Drosophila melanogaster: one gene and its partners. The protein of the gene in region 3 interacts with the protein of the main gene of each other region in a pairwise test. Each region holds a gene or a part of one and is shown on either strand. Other genes may lie near its edges. The genes, in order: CG13707, CG31638, CG13171 and CG1344.

What was found.
Region 1: the proteins of CG13171 (region 3) and CG13707 interact in a two-hybrid assay, tested with the Drosophila melanogaster proteins (one large-scale study listed by BioGRID).
Region 2: the proteins of CG13171 (region 3) and CG31638 interact in a two-hybrid assay, tested with the Drosophila melanogaster proteins (one large-scale study listed by BioGRID).
Region 4: the proteins of CG13171 (region 3) and CG1344 interact in a two-hybrid assay, tested with the Drosophila melanogaster proteins (one large-scale study listed by BioGRID).

Annotation. Positions count from the first base shown.
Region 1 is NT_037436.4:4,836,870-4,842,352, reverse strand, and holds CG13707 (uncharacterized protein), read left to right. Parts: upstream 1-2,244; 5' UTR 2,245-2,452; coding exon 2,453-2,575; exon of another isoform or gene 2,576-3,429; intron 3,430-3,514; exon of another isoform or gene 3,515-3,790; intron 3,791-3,905; coding exon 3,906-4,274; 3' UTR 4,275-4,562; downstream 4,563-5,483.
Region 2 is NT_033779.5:6,488,621-6,497,268, forward strand, and holds CG31638 (uncharacterized protein), read left to right. Parts: upstream 1-2,440; 5' UTR 2,441-2,614; coding exon 2,615-2,755; intron 2,756-2,814; coding exon 2,815-2,885; intron 2,886-2,947; coding exon 2,948-2,987; intron 2,988-3,063; coding exon 3,064-3,584; intron 3,585-3,639; coding exon 3,640-3,843; intron 3,844-3,899; coding exon 3,900-4,236; intron 4,237-4,353; exon of another isoform or gene 4,354-4,440; coding exon of another isoform or gene 4,441-5,234; intron 5,235-5,352; coding exon of another isoform or gene 5,353-5,818; exon of another isoform or gene 5,819-5,912; intron 5,913-6,317; coding exon 6,318-6,484; intron 6,485-6,623; coding exon 6,624-7,248; intron 7,249-7,436; coding exon 7,437-7,445; coding exon of another isoform or gene 7,446-7,500; 3' UTR 7,501-8,368; downstream 8,369-8,648. Other genes in the region: epsilonCOP (coat protein (coatomer) epsilon), read left to right, coding at 571-1,491; Phf5a (PHD finger protein 5a), read right to left, coding at 1,596-1,602, 1,668-1,753, 1,819-2,009, 2,086-2,137; CG9547 (uncharacterized protein), read right to left, coding at 4,441-5,234, 5,353-5,818; CG9550 (uncharacterized protein), read left to right, coding at 8,514-8,648.
Region 3 is NT_033778.4:12,211,615-12,215,238, reverse strand, and holds CG13171 (uncharacterized protein), read right to left. Parts: upstream 1,230-3,624; 5' UTR 1,210-1,229; coding exon 889-1,209; 3' UTR 844-888; downstream 1-843.
Region 4 is NT_033778.4:5,651,090-5,657,278, forward strand, and holds CG1344 (uncharacterized protein), read left to right. Parts: upstream 1-2,586; 5' UTR 2,587-2,617; coding exon 2,618-2,827; intron 2,828-2,879; coding exon 2,880-4,721; 3' UTR 4,722-5,689; downstream 5,690-6,189. Other genes in the region: Not3 (CCR4-NOT transcription complex subunit 3), read right to left, coding at 6,122-6,189.

The DNA of each region.
Region 1 (5,483 bases), on a different chromosome or scaffold from region 3:
AAATATGTTTAAAGGAATGGATGAAACATGCTGGCAATTTCTGTGGCCTGATGTCAAATATACCCTTCCTCACTCTCTTCCTTAGGAATACCTAACACAGCGGTGCCCTAAAATGGTGTTGCATAGCAGCCACGCCCACAAGTTATAACTTGGTTCCGCCCCCAAATAAATCAAGCGGCTGTTGCAATTTTCTCGCAACTCCAAAGAGGGATATGCGTGATGTGGACGTGGGCGACTTCTCGTGCGGTTCAATCAGCTGCAATCTGCTTCGTCAGGATCAGCATCACCACTGGACCACATGCTGGTGACAAGGGCAGATCCACATCCAAGGTCTGGACGGAACACCTGTGTCGACTGGGAGCTGAATCCCTCACAGGTGTCCTGGCCAAAACACGCTCTGCCTGCTGATGGCTGATTCTGACAAGCTCAATTAGGGCGGGAGCACTCTAACCGGATTGAAATCCGGATTGCGATTGGGTGGCGGTAGTCCGAGAACACTGTTTTCGGATATAATGGGGCAAAAAAGAAACCGTTTAAATTAATTGCAGTTTTAAGCAGATTGAAAGTTGTTAAACAGCGAGCCAACGAGCTTACAGTCCGCAGTTGGCTTCGAAGTTTTCCCACCCGCTGCACGCACATTGCACCGCACGCACACACACTGCGCTTAAGATGATAATCATGTTTACGTGGCGTAAGTTAAATTGCTAACGTAATGGACTAACAGCAGGTGAGGACGACTCGAGGATAGAAGGATTCACGGAGCAGGATCTGGTTCTGGGAACTCGAAGTGCATTGCGAAAAATGTATCCTGAATTAGTTTAGTTCGAATTGAAAATATGATATGCTTCACTTAAACTGTTAGGTAACTAAATTTAAATCGCAATAAAATATTTTAGAAAAATTATTACTATTACTTATATTTTATCCGCATTTTCTTGCAGTGCTCGAGCTGTTCTGGAGCAGTTCAGGTAGCTCATGCGTGCGCCGCTGTCAGCGGCACATTTTGGGCTCTTTCAAGTGGCCAACAACCGGGATGGCCCAGAAAGAGACCATTTGCTTGGTCGTGCCACCGGTTGGGGCAGGGATTGAATTGGAAGCTGGAAGGACGACGGATCGCAACGCTTCTGTGTGGTGTGCGCTTCATTGGACAACTGAATATGCAAATTGAATTGAGCGTATTATCGACAAGAAGGAGGCGGAGGAGCGTCGGCGAGGAGGGCGTGGCCCTTGCAGGTGAGCAGCCTCGACTTGGCCATCAACATAATCGCTCAAGCCAAGGGCTTTGGACGGGATTGCTATGGCAATGGCGATGGCGATGGCTATGACGTTGCCGAGATGGAATCGGTGCCCAGTGGGCCAAGATGGTGGCAAATGGTGCACAAAATTAAAATTTTAATGGCTAACTGCTGATGCTTGTTTGGCTTTCAGCAGAATGGGTTGTGGAAGGGAACTTCGATAAGGATGGTGATGGGGATGAAGCTGGGCCAAAGAAAAGCACGATTAAAGCCAAGTCAACGAGCAGCTCTAAAATCATTGCGGCTTGCATATGAATACGGGAAATGCTGCATACTTCGTGGCTACATTGGGAACTCAAGTGTTGCATACTATTACGATGGAAAAAATAGGGGAAAGAATGGTTGCATAATAACATTGCCTGCTACTAGGATGGCTCATAAATCTTTAATGCCTGTCTCGCTCCGCTTTGGGATAAAACGCGAGATGATGGAACCTCTTAAAAAAGCCTGTGTTCCAAGGTTTTACCCCACTTCGTAGCGTTTTATATTTTATGTCTAGTCCAAACCAAAAATTTAAAATAAGTAATGCCAATGTCAAAGACAAAAATGAATGTTTGTGGCTTCAAAATATATGTTCCATCGAATAAATTGTACAGCTGATATTTCGTTTTTCTATTGGTACCCTTCACCACCAAACACCGGAGACACCTCACTGGCCAGACACCACGGACCCAACGGACACAACGCACAGCCGGAAGCCAAATCCCGGGCTCCGAACCCTGGTACGTGGTCCGTGGTGCGGGATCCGTGGTTGTGGCCGCCGATTTTGAGATGTTTTTGAGTGGCTATGAGAAGTGGAACTGCACCAATTGTTCCTGCACTGCGAGTGTGTGTATGGGTATTGGTTGAGTGTGTGCCCACACAGATATACTCACACACTCAAGTGCCCGGCTGATTGACGCACGTAAACAATTTACTCATTGAAAGAAGAGGCTTCAGTCAACGGCGAGCGCTGTTCGCGAGCGGAATTCCGCGGCAACATGTAGAGCAGCAACAAAGGCAGCGAACGAAAAACTACAGAAAATAAATAAAAGGAAAACAACAAACACGAATTAGTGCTATATGTAAAAGTCCAAAAAACCACCCGAAAATTGGACAAGTGTCGCCGGCGGTGGGCAATCAAAAAATAAAACATTCAGGGCATCACAGATGCCGCGATGACGGAGCCAATTAGTGCGGCGGTGCAGCGGCGGAGGCAACTGCTCCGCAGCGTGGAAAGTTTGCGCGGTCGTGTTCGTCAAGTGCTAAAATGTGTTATTAATCTGCATATTGAGTTTTTGGTAATTGATCGACGAACCTCTTCCCTTTCTTTCCCTGTCCAAATTGTTTTTACCACACAAGCGTAATCCACTTGGCCGCAGAGTTACACTTTTGTTGCTGGTTTAAAGTGTTGCAAACACATTGACAGATTCTATATCTGGTATATATGTACAACTGTGCCTCTGTCTGTATAATCTCCTTCTTATCTGGCCTTTGTGCCACTTCTGTTATCGCTCCATCACTTTCGAAATATTATCTGTGCTTTCACAAACAATTCTGTTCATTTCGGCTTTCATTCTAAAAATAGCTCTTTTATTTGGATACAAAAATTAAATTGTAATGCATTAAGTAAGCTAGTAGCAGTAAAATTATCTTACCATTTTTACTAAATGCCGTCTTCAACTAGTCGTATACGTAATCTTCATAAAAGTAACGTCACATTTTTGCATGCTTTTCTTAATGAAAGCTTGTCAACAAACTCTTAGCATTTAGCTTAACAATGGTCAACCGACTATATCTCTTAACCCCTTTTAGCCATTGTAATTTGTTATCGCTATTTCTGCTGCCATTTCACCTGCTATCACCTGTTGTTCAACAATGCGCGACCGGCAACTCTGTTAACAGCTGCAGCAGCGATTTGGAACATGTTAATGCAATTATAGCCAGTTATTGGGAACGAAATGTTAGAATGTTGGACGGGTCAGAGAGGGTTGGGGGTGCGACGTGGGGGTAGTTGGGGACTGCAGTGATTACTAGCACCGCTAATTAGACAATGTCGGTTCGGCCATAGGCAAACGAACGGTTTCGCAATGCATGGCACAGTCATGGCCAGATGAATAAGTATAAAGTTATTTCCGCACAGGATGATTACCCGGTATTAATTGTCTAACTAAATATACAATCCAACTTCCCTAACTATTGTATTTTAACTACAATACATGGATAAACTATTTTTACAGCTTCTTCGTTTGATTTTAACTTTTGATAACTACCTTTTTGGTGTAGAGTGTTTGGGGTAGGGTTTACTTTTCACCCCTTCGAAACATGCACCCAACATGAGCTTAGTTGGCCGTGTTCCTAGGCTTGGCTAATTTGGCACTAATAGAGACGCTAGTGACGAGGCCTTTGGAAAGATATTAGAGCTGAAATCCGAGCCAACATCGCCGAATGAATGGCGCGAATAAGGGGGTCCGGAATGGCGACCTGGATGGGTGGATAGCTCAGCCGGCGGGAAAGTAAGGCTATCACTGACCGTAACGCCGTCACTGTCATTGTGTCATTGGATACCGCAGTGCAAATCGAGCAAAATAAGCGATTTCCCGCTAATCCAATTTCCACCTCACCTCGCAGGTGCTCGAATCCGATGTGGCAGCTTTGCTGGATGAGGTGCGCGAATTCAACGACGACCACGAGGAGATGCAGCGCCTGGACAGGATGATCGAGGCTCTGCGGGACTATAGCGGACCCACGATATGCCACGAGTGGCCCTATCCCCTTATCTTCAAAGGCACAATCGACGAGGCACATGTCGCACAAATACTCAATGCCAGCGAACTGGATTTGGATACGAAGTTGGTCAAGGTGTCCGGCGGAAGGAACTGCATCCATGTGGAATCCGATGTGGTCACAGCTCAAAGGCGCTCCAGATTGCTGTGGTTCTCCAGAAGAAGCAGGGGGAAACGAGCTGAGCGCTTAAAGGAACCTAATCCTGTAGTTTGAGCTTAGCTCTGAGATTGAAACTAGTCCGAAATGCATATGAACAAAGTATTGTAGCCCAAGCTATAATCTGCCATTACAAAAGAGCCGAACATATTTGAGTATAGTATAATTAAGAAAGACTGCGCTGAGATGTCATTAACCTCCTTTAATTGCAAATTATAAATTGACATCCTTAAGCACATAATTTTTGAAGAAGCATGACATGTTAAAAAAAAATATTTGAAATATCATATTCCATCTAAGTTAAGAACCTTGTGTGATTAATAAAACGATTTCACTTGAAAGTATATTTTCATTAAGCCAATTATTTAATTATCCCAACCGTCTCTCTAACTAAATACATCAGGGTAGCCATTAAATGACATACTTGGTTGGTAAATTGTTCATTTCTGGTTGTTTCATTTACTGCGGTCGCCTGCGAAGACAAAATTTCGATATTAGTCCCCACCGCAAACATCTTGTATTCATGATATTTGCGGTGGGGATGTACATTGATTTTGACAGAAAGCACATCGGCACAGCGGCAAATATCTGAGGTGAATATGACATTCGGGGATTCCCCGCTCCCAAATTGTAGTTTCCGTTTTCCACTGGTCAGCCGCAACAAGTTACCGCACCTAATTAAAACGATTTCACACGCAGCTTCTTAAAGGCTCGAAAGCAAAAGTGCAAACAACAAGTGCTTTTATGCGATGTTTTTATATTATACGCTGGCGCAGCTATATTAATTATAAATAAAACCAAAAGAGACAGGTCCAGAAACAATAATAAAACGCGTTTCACTTCCCATCAGCGAATGTGTGTGCGTATGTGGGTAAATTATTCATAACGGTATTATCAGCTTTTCTGCGCTCTGCTGTCTGATTAAATTGCTCGACCATCGCCGGGAAAAGTCCAAGGATGCCCGGGATGCTGGGTGAGTGGATAAGGTTGCGGGTTGGGCGAAAGTGGTGGACAGTTGGCAAGCTTTTCATGGGCACACGGGATCTACAGTGGATGGTAAAGTCTGGAATAGAATTACAAATAATATAAATAATTACTTGTATATGATAAGTGCTTCTTTTTCTATAAAACAATATAACTTTTTTAAATCAATTTAATATGTACTAATATGATAAATATCATTGGCCTTAGTTAAACTTATTGTAATGACTCAGACTGTGCCTAATAAGCGAGGTGTCCGTTTCTGTGTGGGTGTCCGTAAGCTGG
Region 2 (8,648 bases), on a different chromosome or scaffold from region 3:
GGCTATGTGGTCTAAATGTTGTTACTGCGCTTTGCGGTCTATTGTAATGCAATACTAGAGCTTAGCTTGAAACAATTCAAGTCTAACCGGATTGCCAAAGTTGAGCAGAACCGTTAGCTTTTAACGTATAACTAAGCTTTCGTACTAATTACCGGATCTGGAATTGTTGCAGGAGATGGTGTTTTGCAACACTAATCCCAGGGTCTAAATGATTAAGTGAACTTATTTTTAGAGATTTCAAATCAGTTATCAAGATTAAATCTTAAGAACAAAACCTTACATTTTTGCAATTTTACTACGTTTTTACTATATAAAAAGGGATGTAAAAAATTCTTGAGGCTAAAAAAGAGTTTAAAAATAAAAAAACTATTGAAAAACAACATTTTTAGCAAAAAAGAGCGTTGCCAGATGCAATATGTGAAATTATATGCAATGGTCACTCTGTGACAACTCGACGATAACAACGTATCTGGTATCGATGTACGATAGGCACCGATAAGTTTACACAAATAAGCCAACTCAGCCGAAAAGAATTCGGTTTTTCCATCTAATTCAATAATATTTACGAAAATGAGCCGACAGCAGAATGAGGAGGACACCAACTCGGTGCTATTCGATGCCCGCAACGAGTACTACATCGGTAACTTCATGGGCTCGATCAACTTCGTGCTGCCGGAGCAGGGTACCGCGGGTCCGGAGCTCCTGTCCTACATGTACCTATCTTACTTGGCCATCGATTCCGGGCGCATCGTGGCCTCGGACATCAAGGAGGGAAACTCCACGCCACTGCAGGCCTTGCGTCTGGTGCACGAAGCCTTTGAGCAGCCTTCGAGGACGGAGGAGCTGCTGGAGAAACTCACGGACAAGGTGGCCGGAGAGGAGGATGAGACCAACATCTGGCACCTTGCAACCGCCATCGTCTACTGCCACGACGGGCAGTTCGAGAACGCACTGAAGATCCTGCACGGCTCCACCAATCTGGAGTCGATGGCTCTGTCGGTCCAGTGCCTGCTGCGTCTGCAGCGCGTGGACCTGGCCAAGCAGCTGGTGGCCAAGATGCAGGAGATCAGCGACGATGCTACGCTGACTCAGCTCGCTCAGGCGTGGGTGGCCCTCGCCCAGGGAACGGAACAGATGCAGGACGCCTTTCACATCTACCAGGAGTTCTGTGAAAAGTTCAAGCCAACTCCGGCGCTGCTGAACGGCCAAGCGGTCGTTCATTTGGGTCTGGAGCGGTACGAGGAGGCAGATTCCGTTCTGCGTGAATCTCTGCTGAAGAAGCACAACGACTACGACACGCTGATCAATCTGATGGTTCATGCCCATCTTACGGGCAAGCCGACAGAGGCGATCACCCGGAATCTAGAACAGCTGAGGCAGTTCTATCCCAAGAGCGACTTTGTCACCGATCTAGACAAGAAGTCAGCGGAGTTCGACCGCCTGTGCCTGCAGTACGACGTCGAGGGCGGTGAAAAACTGCTCGCCGTCTAGATATAAGAAAAAATTCCAAATATCCAAATTAACAAAACCTTTTGTTCATGTATTAAACTACAATAAAAATTTATTAGAAATGTATTGAGGTAGCGGAGAGCAGATTAATAGCTGTAAAGATAATACAAAGTATTAGGGTGGATTTTTTATGTTTGACTGCTGTGCTGGGTACTCACTTCTGTTTGAAGCCATATTTCTTGCGTTCGTAGAACAGGTCAGTCTTGGAGCTGCCTAGATTTACAATCTTGGGGCATCCGTCGCGCTATAAGAACCAAAATGGACAATAATACCACAGAATGCACCAGAATGCATGACTTGCGAACTCACGTCCTTTTCCTGAATGGTGCAGGACTTGCAGTAGTAGGCATCCGACACTCCGGGTCCTCCACAGATGACGCACCTGCCCTGGTAGGATCCGTAGTTGCACTCGTCGCAGATCCGCACCAGTGTGCATGGCCGCACGTAGGAGTCGCAGATCACACACTTTCCATCGTCTTTTTCACACAGGCGTCCAATGGCTGCCGCATGAGATGGCGAGAGATTTCGAATTATTGGATTGTCTGGGATTTTCAACGGGTTTTTTTGAGAACTCACCCACGCCGGGCTGCTTGCGGCAGAAAATCAAATCCGGATGATGTTTGGCCATGATTTAATATTAGTTTTCAGTCAGCAAATATAAAAACAGTTGCTGAAAAAGCGGCGACTTCTTTATAGTGTGACCTTTACACACTCTCGCTTTCAGGGTTGCCAAGTGGTCAGCATTATCATGTAGGGCATTCATTAAACTCTATGATGGCTTGAATAAAGAAAAAATTAATTTTTTTTTAAAAATATTATTTACCACATTTGATAATACAATATAGATACAAATAATATTTTTTAACAATTAACTGAAATTAAATAACTTTCAAAAGCAACTGGCAGCCCTACACCATGCAGTTTGGCCATTCACAGCGACTAGTAAACAACAACAGCTGTTCGCATTCTCGAATTTTATTTTCTGTATTCGCATTAAGCTTTGGTCCAAAATATTGCAAAAACACTCCCACGATGCAACAGATCAGCTAGGTAGTTGTGTGGTACTTAGGGCAGCAAGCAGGACTTGAGAAAGGACACCAGCAAAATGTCGCAGACAGCATCCACAACGCAAAGTGTAACCGCTGCACCGGCGGGTGGCAGCAGACGCAATGAAGTGGGCGGCGTGGGCGTCATCGGGACCACCATGTCGGCTAGATATGGAGAAACAGAATGGGAGGCTCGGGAGGTGCGTATCGGAGTGTGATGCTTTATATCATTTCCCATAAACTCCCATTTTCTATTCAGTCCCAGCGGCAGAGGGAACTGCACGAAGCTCGAGCACGGGCGGCGCAGATGGAGAAAACCATGAAGTGGTGGTAAGTGGAGCAGCTCGTCGTGCTCAAAACTATCTGCTAATCCAAACATCAACCATTCCCAGGTCCGACTGCACTGCCAACTGGCGGGAGAAGTGGAGTAAGGTAATTTGGTTGCCATGGCTTTAAAGTTGGGTCAATATCGCCGGTATCCAATAACAAAACTTTTCACTTTTCGCAGGTCCGCAACGAGCGGAATAAGGCCAGAGAGGAGTCCAAGCAGCTGAGCCTCAAACTGGACGGCGTCATGAAGGAGGCCCACTCGCTGAAGCGGGAGAAGAACGATCTCGAGTTGCAGATCACGCAGCTAAAGAAGGAGATGGAGAAAGTGCACACGCTGATGATGAAGCACGCCGGTCAGTTCCATCGAGCCGACACCAGCGAGGATGCGGAGGCCAACGGACGGGATGCCAACTGCTCGCCGGATATCTCCTCGGATGGCTTAAAGAATATCAATAGCGAGGACGGCTTGGTTACCAAGCTGCCCAATGATGTCAAGGATCTAGACATTGAGGAGTTCGCTATGAAGGGGGCTATGCCCAAACATCTGACCGAGTTGGACGAAGCGGCGGCTGCCGAGGAGAAGCGCCTGATTCAGCAATTGTCAAAGGATGACTTTGACGAAGACTACTTGCTGCAAAAGATATCCATGCTGCAATTGCGCCTCGACGAGGCTCAGAAAACTCTTCAAGCGGAAAGGGAGTGAGTAATCTCTATTCCAATAATAATACTTTAATTATTTCTATTATTTTCGCAGCGAAAAGCTGGAGCTGCACAAGAGCATTGAGAAACTGACGCTGGAGATCCAGGACGTGCGCGGACGTCAAGAGGAGATGCGCTCGGCCAAGCAGGAGGCAGTGCGTGAACTATTAACTCTTCAAGAACAACATCGTGCTGAGATGCGTATCGTGAATAACTCGCTGCAGGAGGAGATTGCTGCCCGTGAGAATCTCGAGCGCCGGTAAGCAAATACGCATTCTGTACTTTGACAAGAGTGTAACTATCGATTCATTGCAGCCTCACGGAGCTTCGCACTGAACTGGAGCACCTTCAGGCGGAGAACGCCTCCGAATGGGGCAAGCGCGAGCGACTGGAGTCCGAGAAATTGGCCATGGAGCGTGACAACAAGAAACTGCGCGCAGAACTGCGAGATTATCAGGAACGTTCGGACCGTAAGTGCCGACCCATGCAAGCTAATGACGTGGAGCTGCGAGCATTGCAGCAGGAACTTTCGGAGCGCAACAAGGAGATCAGCGAGGTGAAGATGTCGCACGCCAAGCTAAAGAAGTTGCTGGCCGAAACAAACACAGAGCTGGGACACGCCGTGCGGCGAGCCGAGCAGTATGAGGCGGAGGTGAGTAAATCCACATCCAAAAATCTTATCAGATGATATATGGATCAGATTACGCGTATCAGCTTATCAGCCTAGGAAAACTTAAAGATGTAACAGCCTTCCTCGCCGAACCGAATTCGGTTTGATTAACATTTATTCACATTGACACTTCGACATAAAACAAATTGGTAAATGCAGTACTTTATGATTTTCGAAACAAGTACATTAGTTAGCAAATGCCGCCAGTCCGGTGATGGCTCGGCCCAGGATCAACGCGTGTATATCGTGCGTGCCCTCATAGGTGTTAACTGACTCCAGGTTGATTACATGGCGGATCACATGATATTCGTCGCTGATTCCGTTTGCACCCAGCATGTCCCTCATTTGGCGCGCTATATCAAGCGATTTGCCAGTATTGTTTCGCTTTAGAAGGGAAATCATGTCGGGCGTGTGCAGCTTCTGATCCTTGAGGCGACCCACATGCAGGCAAGCCTGCAGACCCAACGCAATCTCTGTGATGGCATCGGCCAGCTTCTTTTGGATCAACTGATTTGCAGCCAAAGGACGACCGAATTGTTTGCGATCCAGTGTATACTGGCGAGCAATCTCCACGCAGGTTTCAGCTGCTCCCAGGGCTCCCCACGCGATTCCATAGCGAGCGTTGTTCAGACAGCTGAAGGGTCCACTAAAGCCGGCCACATTGGGTAGCAACTGCTCCTCTGGCACACGGACCTCGTCCATCAGGATCATACCCGTGGGCGAAGCACGCAGAGAGAACTTGCCCTCGATCTTTGGCGTCTCCAAACCCTTGCCGGATATCTTGCGATCCACCAGGAAGCCGCGTACCTTGCCATCCTCGCATTTTGCCCATACGACTATGACGTCTGCGATGGGCGCACTAGTAATCCACGTCTTAGATCCGTTCAGGATGTATGTCTTGCTTTTGCTATCGTACTTGGCACGGGTCTCCATGCCAGCGGGGTCACTACCGTGGTTGGGTTCAGTTAGGCCAAAGGCACCTGAATAAATATGTAAAGAAATTGAGATTCGTTTAAAGAGAACACATATAAACTACGGGACTTTATATAATTCACTCAATATTTCATTAAAATATGATTTTATTCATTTGGCACTCACCAATCAGCTTGCCCTCCGCCATGCTGGGCAAATAGCGTTGCTTCTGCTCCTCGGATCCAAAGTCGTAGATGGCGCCCATGGCCAGCGAGCTCTGGACACTGACAGCAGACCGATAAGCGGAGTCCACGCGCTCCACCTCGCGGGTGAGCAAGCCGTAGGCAACGCTAGAGACTCCGGCGCAGCCGTATCCCTTAATGGTGCAGCCGAGGACACCCAGACTGCCGATCTCCTCCATAATTTTCTTGTCGAACGTCTCCAGGCGATTGGCCATCTTGACGCGCGGCTGCAGCTCGGCCTGACAGTATCCACGGAACGCATCCCGAATGGCCACCTCTTCCTCGGTCAATTGGCTCTCCAAATTCAGCGGATCCTGCCAGTTGAATTTGGGAGCTGCGGCTTTGGAGCTCGTGCTGGCCAAGCGGCGGGCACACGGTCGCAGTTTGCTGATTACACTTTGCGCAATCATAATTCCGATTCGGTTCTGTCTTTTCTGTTGGAAGTGATCAGCCGGTTCTCCACGGAACAGCTGCTCGATTCGACGTTCGGCGAGAGACTGAAGAAAGCTTAAATCTACAGCGAGAGCTTTTGGCTGCCCGCTCTTCGCGCGCTCTCTTCGCTCTTCTTCGCCAACTTTGTTTACCTCGCTTTAATATTGTTGTTATGCCCGATCTTAATCTGCGGGTTCTAAATTTTTCGCACTATCGCGCTTATATTTCACTTGACGATAGAAACCAAGAGTGAAGCGAGTGTGGAAGGAAATATTTTTCCATTTTAAGCGTTATCACCACTTGGCGGGGGTCGTCTGCTTATCAGTTGTGTTTGAAGACTGGAAGGCACGCCCCCTTGCTCTTTGTGCTTCGAGTTTTGGGTACAGATGCATCTTATGCGTTCAGAACAAATATGTAATATACCAATCTGAATCCACATATGTAGCTACATCACTACTTTTCTCTATTTTCCTGCAGGTGAAGCGTCTGCGTCAGCGTGTGGAGGAGCTGAAGCGGGAGTTAGCTGGTGCTGAGGACGAACTGGATTCGGCCGTTAACCAAGTGCGCCGCTTGCAGCGTTCCAACGATGAGCTGGTGGGTCAGACGGAAGGATTACAGGTGCAGATTCAGCACCTCCAGAATAGGTAAGATCAGTTCGAAAGAAACATTTAGATTTGCATACCGCTAAGTCTGTGGACTAACTCTAATAACCACTAACTTTTCAACTGGTGCTGGCTTGACTAATAACCTAACTCCTAACCCACGCTTAACCCAACGAAAAAGACGTGCTCCCAGTCCCCAGCTGCGGGGCATGGGCGGGGTGCAATTGAGGAATAAGATTGCCGTGGAGCTGCCCAACGACTGTCTGCCGAATATCAATGATCTTCGCCAGATCTTTGATGACTCGCAGGCAGGTTTGAGGAGCTCCCACAATGGCAGCGATGCCGCTATGCATCATGCTGCTTCCGTAAAGAGATCTAGTCACACGGAACGAACGCTCCTGCAGCAGCAGCAGAGTAGTGCTGCGGCATCTGCAGCGGCGGCGGCAGCGGCAGCAGCTGCTTTTTTTGATGCCAAGCCCACGCATCTGGAGGAGAATATATTTGAGTCGAAGTCACGGAATCTGGAGTTCGAGCGGGCCAAGCAGAAATTCGATAATCCTCACGGACAGCACCATCATCATCACCAGAGGCAGCGATCCGGAAACGGACGTTATGGCAGCGCAGGCAGCAGTGCCAGTCGAGCGAATCTAGCGCTGCCCCTGAAGGGAACCACAAATGGAGGCAGCAGCTCCGTTTCCAGTAAGGATGAGCTAAACCGACAGCTGTACGAGAAGGAGCAGTCTGCAGGCGCTGGATATGCGAGAAACAGCATTAATCTAGATGGTCTCAAGGTGTCCGACGATGAGGTGAGATTAGAGGAGCAGAAACGATTGTTATCACTTGAGTAAACTAATGCTTTGTTAGTTATTGTGTTCATCACATTATTGGTTTGATTTGTTTTAGCATCACTAATCCTTTTACTGCATGTATTGGTTTTACTAATCAATGTATAATTCTAGGTAAATATAATAACTATTTGTGATTTAAATTTCAGACTCCGTAGCTATGGTTCGACAAGCTTGCTGCTGGACGACGAGACGGAGGGTAACAGCGACTAGGATAACCAGACAAAAGACATTTGAGAGACATTAATGGTATTAACCTTAAGTATTAATTCGCAAGTACTTTAAAGTTGGTTGGACAACAGTCCCAAATATAATGCGCATTCCTAGTTTATATTTGGGCCTTTTACCAACCGGTGCCCCAGTTTTTTTTATAAGCATAACTATTGCAGAACGATTGTTCATGAACAAATACTTACTTATAAACTAAGATATTCTTAATTTCGCGACTAATTCCAATCATCAGATCACCAGTTAGCCACTTTCATAACTTCAATATTCCAAGTAATTTAAGGATAACGTTTGAAACTCATCTAGCTGGCCATATTCTTATGAGCTTAACCCGCAGCTAAGACGGTTGTTAGGAGGATTTCTCCTTCACATCCTTGCATCCTCATCGGAAACCCTTGCCTTTACTAAAAATGAACAGACTTAATAACAGATATACCGACATATATACGTATTGAAGCATAATACAGGTTCGATGTTTGCGGAATAGCATTTAGTGCCAGAAATCTAAAGAAATTGTATGAGATTTAGGAAAGCATTGATAGAAATGCTGCTATTTATTAATCGACATTATTGGAAATTATACAAGTAATTCTCACTACATATTTCGATATTTTTGCAGTTGCCTAGTCCGAAATTCTTTTAGTTTTTCAAAAGTCTATCGATATTCAGCGGCATAGTTGATCTTTTACAAAAAAATATATATACACATTAAACAAATCGGAACTCAAAATATTTACGTATTATAACATAGCAATATTAGTATTTTAGTTATTGATAAATAACAATTTATTAACTATTAAAATTATATATAAAATACAAATGATATGCCAATAAAGGTAGCATGTTACAAGATAAACCCTTCTTGCAAATCCTGTCCTGCTTTTTGATCGTCTTCGTGGAAGCACAGTACCTTCTGTCAGATCTTCAAACTTCAATCGTTCAGACATTATACAAAATTGGAAGAGTGGGAAAATTGGAATAAACTTAAAATTTCAGTCATGGTTTCACTTTCGCGTACTTCAAAATTAACCGTCGCTTGCGTGGGCGTCTATACGACCTACGTACTCTTCATATTCTTCCTTTTGCCCATGCTGATGCCGGATCCGGTGACACTGCAACGTTCACTGGTCTCC
Region 3 (3,624 bases):
CCAATATTTCTGGCAAGGAACCCCTCTGGTACGCACCCATGTCCCTCTCGGTATGATGCACTGCTCTGTCGACGCTCTCCAGGAATAGCTTCCAGCTGGGGCACTAAAAGCAAATGAACTAGGGGGCCTGGTGGCTCTGCATGTAATTATTCTGTCATCCGAGGTGTGTCACCCGGATGGAGCACAGGAGGAGCACGAGGAGCAGTAGCCCGAGGAGTTACTTTGAAGGGGACTGGCCTGGAGGAATGGATGGAGGTATGGAGTGATGACAAAAGACAGGCGGCCAACTGGCCTTGCCCTCTGACCCGGAGCCTTGTTGTTTATGGCCACCCAGTGCTGTACATGCGGCGTAATTGCATTGTTGCCGTTGTAATTACAGGCAAACATGCAGTTAATTAAAATCATTAAAATGCCTTTGCCTTTTGCCATTGAGCCACTCAGAGGTGTAGGTGGTGTGTGTGAGTGTGAGGATGCCTAGAAGACAGCTGGGAGGAGCGACCTAATTTCCGGCGAAAGGGAAAGGATGTGCCTTTCCAACTGTCACAGCGTTGAGTGCAAATTATTTTGGATTTTTTTCCAGCGTGCCTGGCACAGACTTTTGTTTGAAACTCTGATGGCTGCCGCATGTCCTCGTCTGGCACGATTCCTTGGATTGATTTTGATTAATGCTCCGGCAGTCGCAAGTCGAGCAAATCATTTTCACGCTTGCCAAAACATTCCAAAGTGACAAGCTCGTGCAAAGTCAAGTGTATATATATTGCACACATACATATGTATGTACATAAGTGTGCGCATCAACGGACCAAAGCGTCAAGTGCAGACATAGCAACCGTGTGTCACCTTAAATTGTTAATTGTTTTCCCTCAAACTTTATTTCCACACGCTTCATCAGTCACGAAGTGAGGCCATCTCGAATGGCACCTCGTACGAGTCGTACACCACCAGATGAACCTTCTCCAACAGCGAAAGTCCCTTCAGTTGGACATTCCTTTCGCTCTGCAAGCACAGCAGACCCAGTTCCATGCGGCACTTGGAGCAGTGCAGATTCTGGAATCGCTCCCCATTTGTCTCCCTGATCCTGTCCTCTTGGATTAGGTTGAAGGTACGGCTCAGGAGCAAGTCGTAGGGCGTCTCATTCACTTTGGCTGACTTGTAGCTGACGATATTGCCACAATAACGACAGGCATAAGCAATTTTAAAGGCAGACATTTGAAATACGTACACATACTAGGTTCCTTGGGTGATAGAGAATGTGAACTGACTTACTGATATATATTAGTTGTTCCATTAAATAATTTCATAAATTCTAGACTAAAAAAGTAAGGAGCTATTATGTTATATTTATGGTGTTCTTTATGTGAAAAGCATACATTTCCTTTTATATCTAAGCCACTTTATAGATGATATAGCCAAATTTGACCACTTAGCAATGAAAGAACCTTGTGGGTATGTATGCGAAAACAGTTTCCAAAACGACATGAATTCACAAGCTGAAACTGAACTATTGATGGCCACTATTTGAGCCAAGTCGACCCATCATTAAGGACGAACAATCGAAGAGCGCATTAAGCATATTTGATGCTCGGCGGCAAAGTTGATTACAAACACAATGTGGTGTATTCATGGCTGGTCACGGCAGCATGTCCTGCAACCTGCATCCCCCCCCCCTTCCCTTCCTAGATAATTAATGAGTTTAGGCCGAGTCCTGGGATGGGGTTGTGTGCCCGGAGAGAAGTGTTGCCATCATCGTTTCATTTGTTTATGCGTCTGTTTGCAGCTGTTATTTTATTCAGGCTCTCTCGCCTTGAAGATAATTTGCGCACGTGCTTCAGATTTGGTAGGTGTGTGTGTGTGAGAGTGTCCTTGTTTCGCCGGAAACCGGAATGCGGTGGTGTGGGTGCACAGAAGGCACACGCACCTACTTTATGCTCGGATAATTGCGAGCATTTGTCTTGGGCGTACAGCCAAATCCGTATCCAAAAGCAAATTACGGATTCTCATTTCTAACTGGAGCCACAGCAACGGGGCCAATTAAAAATGTATGCTCCCTGAGTGCCAAAATGTGTTATGCGAATTCAATCAATAAATTTCAGCTGCTTTCATTTGATTTGATGGGTTTCCTTTTAGAATGCTTTTAATTACAGCAGTTCAAATTAATGGAGTATACAATATACAATAACATACAAAAGCAATAATACAAATTGATCTTCAGTCGGAATTATTAAATTAATTTAATATTAAACTAACCCATTTAATTAACACAGCTAGAAAATAAGTAATGTTTTAAATCAAAACTTTATGGCTGGAGAAGCAAGCAATTTCCGAAAATCTGATCGACTTAAATGGTTTTATTTTCGAGCGAATTTCAATTGGTGAAATACCGATCTGAAATTTTGTATCTCAACTACTGGGTTAAATTTGCAGTCACCCGAGAGCCAAAAGATTAAGCCAACTTTTTTATAAGTGGTCCAACTAGAACAACAAATTAATGAAAACTAAGTTGAACATTCTCAAGTTTTTCCCAACTTTTTCGCTCTCTTTCCCTCACCGCCCTCTCTCTCTCTCTCTTTCTGTTGCTTTTCGTCTTGTTTTCGGTCTTGTTGGAATAGACAGCTTTGGAAGACGACCATTTCCACCATTTTCCGACCTCCGACCGAAATTGATGAAAACGAAATTGATGTTGACTCCTGGGCGAAAGGGGATGGTGGATGGGGTAAAGAGGGGGTGTCTACGTCGATGCGGTCGGAGCTGCCTTTTTGGCCAAAAAACGTGGACTGGCAAAGGGAATGGGGAAAGCTTTTAGCAGATACTTTACGCAAATCCCATGGGAAAACATTGGCCCACTTTCTGCCACAGCGGCCCCATCATTAAAAGTTAAAAAGGATTTTCAACGGATTTACGAATTTCAAGCTGAGCCCGAAAGACAAACAAAGCCATCAATTTACATATGCGAGCAGGTCAGAGCTAAAAATTCGGAAATTCTCAAATTCTCAGCTCCCAGACGTCGCTCCCTCGGCAAGAAATGGAAATACTAAAATTCAAGAAACACAATTTAAGATGCAGCCAGCGTTTTGGTGGGCGACGAGAAAATGGGTGGTGCCTTCGTTCCACCAAAAAAAAAAAAACAAAGCCGAGCCAAGACTGTCAAGTAGTCGTCGTCCCGCATCCACTTACGCCAGTCCCAGTACCAGTCCCTCGTCCACATTCTCACCATCGTCCTCGGCCATTTCCACTCGTAGTCATCGTCGTCATCGCAAGGACCTTGAGTTGTGCCTTCCATGGCTTTTGCCTTTGTTGTGCTAAACTTGTGGATTAGCTAAATGCAGGCCGGGCATGCCACGGCATGCAGGCGGCTTCATTCCGGTAAGTCAACCCGGACAACAGAACCCCCCTCCCAGCCATCTTAGAACCCAGCCACCCATCCACGTCGCCATCTCCTCCAAGAGGACGCCCACTTAAACCTAAACATTTCGCCTTCTTGGGTTTTTATGAGCTGCTCATGTTGGCGTTTTGCTTTCCTCGCATTCTTACTCGGTCTTTCATTTACTTACACCTGATGTTTGGCTTATTCTTATGTGCTCCTTGGAGGAGAACCTCCCTCCCTCCCTAGCCACTTCTGAGCAC
Region 4 (6,189 bases), 6.6 Mb from region 3:
GTAGAACTGGTTCAGAACAGCATGTCCGACAACCTATAAACACGGGGTACCACCGATAACACCCACTCAAGACTTTCAATCATGGTGTTTTCTGTCTCTCATATAAAAAATGTCCCTCAAATTAGAATTACAATAAATGAAATCACCAATAGGTTACTAGTGGAACATAATATCGAGAAAAGCTTTACTTCTTAAATTGTTGCATATAAATATTTATCTCTCTTGATAGTCGAGGAATCCACTATGGGTTCCCGTCTATTTTTTATTACTATACTGGTACTCGTTGAAAATTATGTATAAGGTTGAAAGAAGCGTTTTCGACCATATAAAGTATATATAAAGTATATATATTCTTGTTCAGGATCAATAGCCGAGTCGATCTGGCAATGTCCATCTGGACGTCTGTCTAATCCGTCTCGGGAACAGCTAGATGGATGAGATTAAGCATACAGATTCTAGAGACATATACGCAGGCCAAGGTTGTTAACCCATGTTTCCACGCCCACAAGCAGCACAAAACTGTCACGACCCCATTTTTGAATCATTTATTAATTTTTTTTTATTCTATTATTTCTACTAACATTCCAAAAAATATAGAAATTTCTCATTAAAACTTTGAGGTGAGTAACGGCTATCTTATAGTCTGGGAAGTCGAATATAACAATCTCTCTTGTTGCTTAAAAGAATTTAGAAATTCCCTGGCACTCTCACTAGCAAGAAACGAATATTCTACACTCCAGATACTTGACTATTGCGTTCCATCTTGTTGTGAAACTGGGGCAGCACGCGCTATTTAGCCGTTATCCGCTGATTTCATCAACGTACATGCGTACATATGTAAGTAAAAATGTCTCATTGATTGCGTTTTAAACATATAACTGAAATCAATATACCTTTTATAAGGGTATAAGATGGGCACTTCTGCCCGGAAAATGCATAGATTGGGTAACAGCTCCGATAGAATAAGAGATATGCACATGGCTAAAATGATCCCGTTAGTGATCTCGACAATTTTTCTACATGTTACATCAACAATATGTATGTTTCCAAAGACGGTAATTAATATAAAATTGTCAAAACTTCAATGAAAATTGATATGCAAGTCGATCTTTGTGTCAAATAGAACTTAGCTATTAATTTAAGAACGATTTTATTATTAATCAACCACACTGGAAAGATTACGATAGGACTCATTACGATTAGGCTTGGGCTATTGACATATGTAGTAACACGCTACTAATGGTGTACCGATTATAAAAGGCTATCTATGTCATGTTTGTTAACTAATTTAAAGCTGGCTTTCTATTATTAGAATTGAATTTGTTCAGTCTTTTCCTAGACATATATTTAATGTGTTGATTTGTTCATATTCAGCACCACATCAACTCAACAAGGACATGCTAACTCACCTTCGAACCTTGTATGTTGCTTTTATAAATTCGTCCTAGATAAGATCACACACCAATTTCTGCACAAAGGGGAGGCGTATTTTTTTACTTTTCGCTAATAATTTTGCATTACAACTGATGTAAAGTAATTTAAAACCGATCCATTTGATATATTGCGTGAATTTTTCGAGTGGCAAACAAGTTTTTAAAACATTTATATGTACACGACTTTATGTTACACTTATTAGTTTTATGTATTTTTTCAAAATATATACAAAAACAAAATGTGAAAAACAAAAGATTGTCACTTGTTTTCACGTACGTCCAGTGTGACCGAAACATGAGCAAACAAAAAGACAAAAATGAAAAAGTTTATAATGTGTTGAATAATGTGATGCAGTTTTCACATGCTAAGCATGTTTTTTCAATTACTGCCATTGTGGTTTAGGTCGTTGAATTATTTGGTAACCCTCGTGTACACTCATACTTAAAAACACATTCATTATACGATTACCATCCTATTTAAGTGAGTTTAACAATAATTTATCATCTTAGCGTGCTCTACAGCTACCTTCCATAGGTGAGTTTAGTCGGGAATCCATTCCACGATCGGTGACTGAAAGGGTACGAGCTCAACTGAAATTTGAACTTCTTGGCGGCATATATTTTGGGTGTTAAATGGGTCAACTAATTTGCGCTGCAATGTGTATGCTTAATCTAGCTTTATAGTTCCCGGGATCTCGACGTTTATACGGATGGACATACAGACGGGCATGCCCAGGTTCTTAAACAACACTTAAAAAAGATGTTTTGGGAGAAACAAAATTAGGGACTGAAAAGTGTGAAAATATGACCTATAATTAACCATTCGCTTTAATTTTAAAATCTCTTTGAATAACGAAACATGTTTTTTATGTTTTATATATATGAAGTTTATTTTAGCTATTTTCATTGCTAAACAGGTTCTTATACTCACTATGTGTATAAAGGCTATACAAATAATGATATTCAAATAGAATTCAATGTGTAAATGGGGTTTTTTGACCATACGAAGTTGATATAGATATATCTATGTATAAATGAATTCCTTGTTCCCTTTTTTCGAACATTGTTTTCAACTGTTAGTGTAGACGCAACCCTGTCTGAACATGCTATTATTGCAATAAATTATGTGCCCGAAATAAGAAATAAATTTAAGCGCTTCGTAGTAGATAACAGCATCTAGAGCTATGGGCAATGAAGGCAGCAAACTAAAAGGAATACTTGTTGAGGAAAATGCGGTGGAGACTAATCAATTTTGGACAGTTTATAACGCTAAGACGCCAGAGACAACCAACGATGAACGTTGCAGCCAGATGCTCTCCGTATTCGAAGGAAAAGTCTTTGTCAAGGCACATGTATGGTCAAATGGAGTGGGCCCGATTGAAAGAGCAATAAAAGTATACTTGTAGGGTTAAAGAAATCAACTGTTTACCAAATGTTTTCCCCTAGAACCTGATGGTCTACCGCCACCCGTACATCTTAAAATATATAGCTACCTGGGAGAAGTCGGGACGGAAGTATCTTGCTACAGAGAGAGTCAGACCTCTAGATGAGGTGCTGGCCCAGCAGACTGACATTGAAGTCTGCCTAGGGCTGCGAACCATTTTATGCGCTCTAATATTTTTGGTTGAGAAGGCCCTGGCTCGGCACTTAAATATTAACACGCAGTCTATTTACGTAACGGAGAGTGGAAGCTGGCGCCTCGCTGGCTTCGAGTACGTTTGGAGGGCCACGGATGTCAACAAACAACTGCTCGACTTGGCACATTCTTTTATAGACTTGACTATTCACGGAGAGAACTTCGAACAATTTTTCTTCTCCATTTTGTGCGAGAAAGTGCTAAGCAGGAAAGGAACTGATAGTTGTATTACTGATAGCACTCCACACGTTCATGAGTTCCGTGAGTATTGCAGCACACACCTAAAGCATCAAAATACAAAGCTAAGGCCAAGACTTTCTGCTATCTTGCTACATCCATACTTCAACCATGAATTCGTGCTTATACATTCCTTTCTCTTTGAGTTGCCACTGAAGTCAGTGCACGAGCGCCACAAATTCTTTAGAAGTTTGATTGATCGATTGCGATATTTCGACGAGGAAGTAGTGGCTTCGCAGCTGGCATGTGACTTACTCTCTAGAATGGTTCTGCTGGATCCTGCTGCACAAGAATTTGTGACTCCGCATATACTCCGTACAAAAGTTACTGATAAAGCACCGGCATCGCTATTTTCTCCGCAAATCTACGTACAATACTTAATGCCACACATACTCAAGATGTTCCGCTTGCGTGATGCACAGATTCGATTAATACTTCTTGACTATTTTATGGACTATGTTCGTCTCTTAAGCGATGAGCAACTAGAGAGCGAAATTCTTCCTCATTTACAGCTTGGTATGAACGATACTAACGACGTCTTGGTAGGCAAAACACTAAGGTGCATGGCTGATTTAGTTTCCATATTAGGAGCTAACAAAGTTTTGGGCGGTGATCGTGCACGATGTTTTTCTGATGGCCGTCCACACGCTGCTGTTTCCAGAGACAGCAACAATCCTTATCCCGAACCGCGGTCTATTAGTCCTTTAATGAATACTAGATCCTTCGACGTAGAAGACTTTATGGTTTCTGGGAGCCCATTGCCACAAGAAAGCAATGCCTCACCTTTATCTATTCGCCTTAGCCCGGACGGTGGGGAGGACGAGAAACTTCGGTTAAATTCAAATGAAAAATCCATAAGTATAAAACATAATATAGACCCCGAGAAGGACTCGTATATATCTGGCACAGAGCATGAAAGAGTGGCCAACATTGATGAGGAGGGGACTTGGCTTGATTGGGACAATACAGACCACCTTCAACAGGGCTACCAAGTGGATCACGCTGTAACCGACTCTGAAACAAACAGTAATTCATTTGCTAGAGAGATCCAAACTGGCAAATCTTTATCGCCCTCATATCGCACTGGAAAATGTAATTTATCAGTTGGAGTAAACGAGACAATATCCCAGACAGAACAGAAAGTTATCGATGATCTCAGTGAGCTGGACATAAAAGTGCAAACGGTGATTCAAAGGTCTGAGTTCAACGAATTTGATTTCTTCAAAGATATGGAACCGATCATCGAAATCCGGACTAGTACCTGTGAGACACCGGAGCAAATAAGCAGCCGTTTTGCTGCTGCTGCGTCAGCCGTGAACTGTAATGAGCTGTGTGCCGATCAGGGTTGGGGTCATGATGAACAGGATGATAAGGACGATATTGTCTGGGGCGTGACGAATGTATCAACGCTTTAATACAAAATCGAGGTATTTTTTACTGTTAGCTAAACAATAAAAGCCATAAATGTAATTAAATTGTATCAGGAAACTTTGGAGATGTTTTTAAAAATACCTAACATACTCTGTGTATATGCAAAAAAAAAAAAAAAAAAACTAATTGAATTTTTTCAACATTTTCTTTGTTTTTGTCGTACTTGCCGTAAATGTGACAAAAATAGCGCAGACCTACAACTGCCACGCCCACGTACGTTTCTCGTTCGCACTCCCACCAGCTGATTGTAATGGGTAGTCGGAGAACTAGACTGTAAAGTTTTCTCTTGTTTGTTCCTTTTTTTGTCCTAACAAATAAATGCTTGCTTACTTTTGTATTATAAAAAATCGACACCTCGGTATTTTTGTTTTTGATTAAGACTTAGTAATAGAATTGTAATCGTAATTTAAACTTGCGTAGAAACGGATGAAAATGAAATGGATAAATGTACTAGTAATTTAATTAGTGCTAATTTATAGGGTCCAATTTCTCTGCGTTGTTACTTTTGATTAAAATTAAAATGAACCCTCTGCAAGGATATATAGGAATATACCCACCAAATTAAAATAATATTAATTTCAACTATTCAATCGTCTTTATTCTGTGTTCATACATTTAAACAAGACTTGCCCTCCAAAAGCCTTGGAAATTTTACGTAACAAAATGGGACCAAAAATGATTAAATTTCAATTATAGTATGATCAGGTTATACCTATTTCCTTTGCTTCATGTTAATAGCTTTCTCATACAGCCTCGGGTATGAATATGACAAACAATCTGTTATTGCTGTGTTAATTTAATCGCATACAAATCAGGACCAATGTTTCTTTTAAATCTTTCAACTTTTTACCAAGGACCCATAGAATACAGGTTATATGAGATTGTTTTTGAAAGCCCTCTGTGATTTCTTACTCTTCGCAGACATGTTGCTGCTGATTTACGTACTCATCAAAGACGGTAGACGACTAATATATTTGTGACGTCAGTAAAAATCGCAGTGGCCCTTACAAAACACCTATATGTAATTTTAAAGGCCAAGATAATGAAAACTAATTTGTATTGCAATACTTGAATTAAAAAGCGTAGCGAAATGTGTATAAAAGTAAGCATCCTTATTAATTCTGCAAGAATGTAAAATTAACGAAAGGAGTAAAGCTAAAAAACATGCATTCCTAATAAATATACTTCATTTTACTTTTAACTTATGGTTACGGCTGTTTTGCTTTTTCTTTTAAATTTCCATTAGTTGATCTTTCTCGCGCTTTTCGATTTTGATTTGTGTTATGATTGTGTGATTTTTTATGAAAATTGGATTGATTTATTTTATTATTTTAATGGATTGGTTTTCTTTTAGACAGACGAAGCAACAAACATCGCAACATTTTCAATTCAGCTCCTTGTCCTCTAAGTACTTGTATTCAAAGGTGAATCCCTCCTTCTTTCGCTGACTCC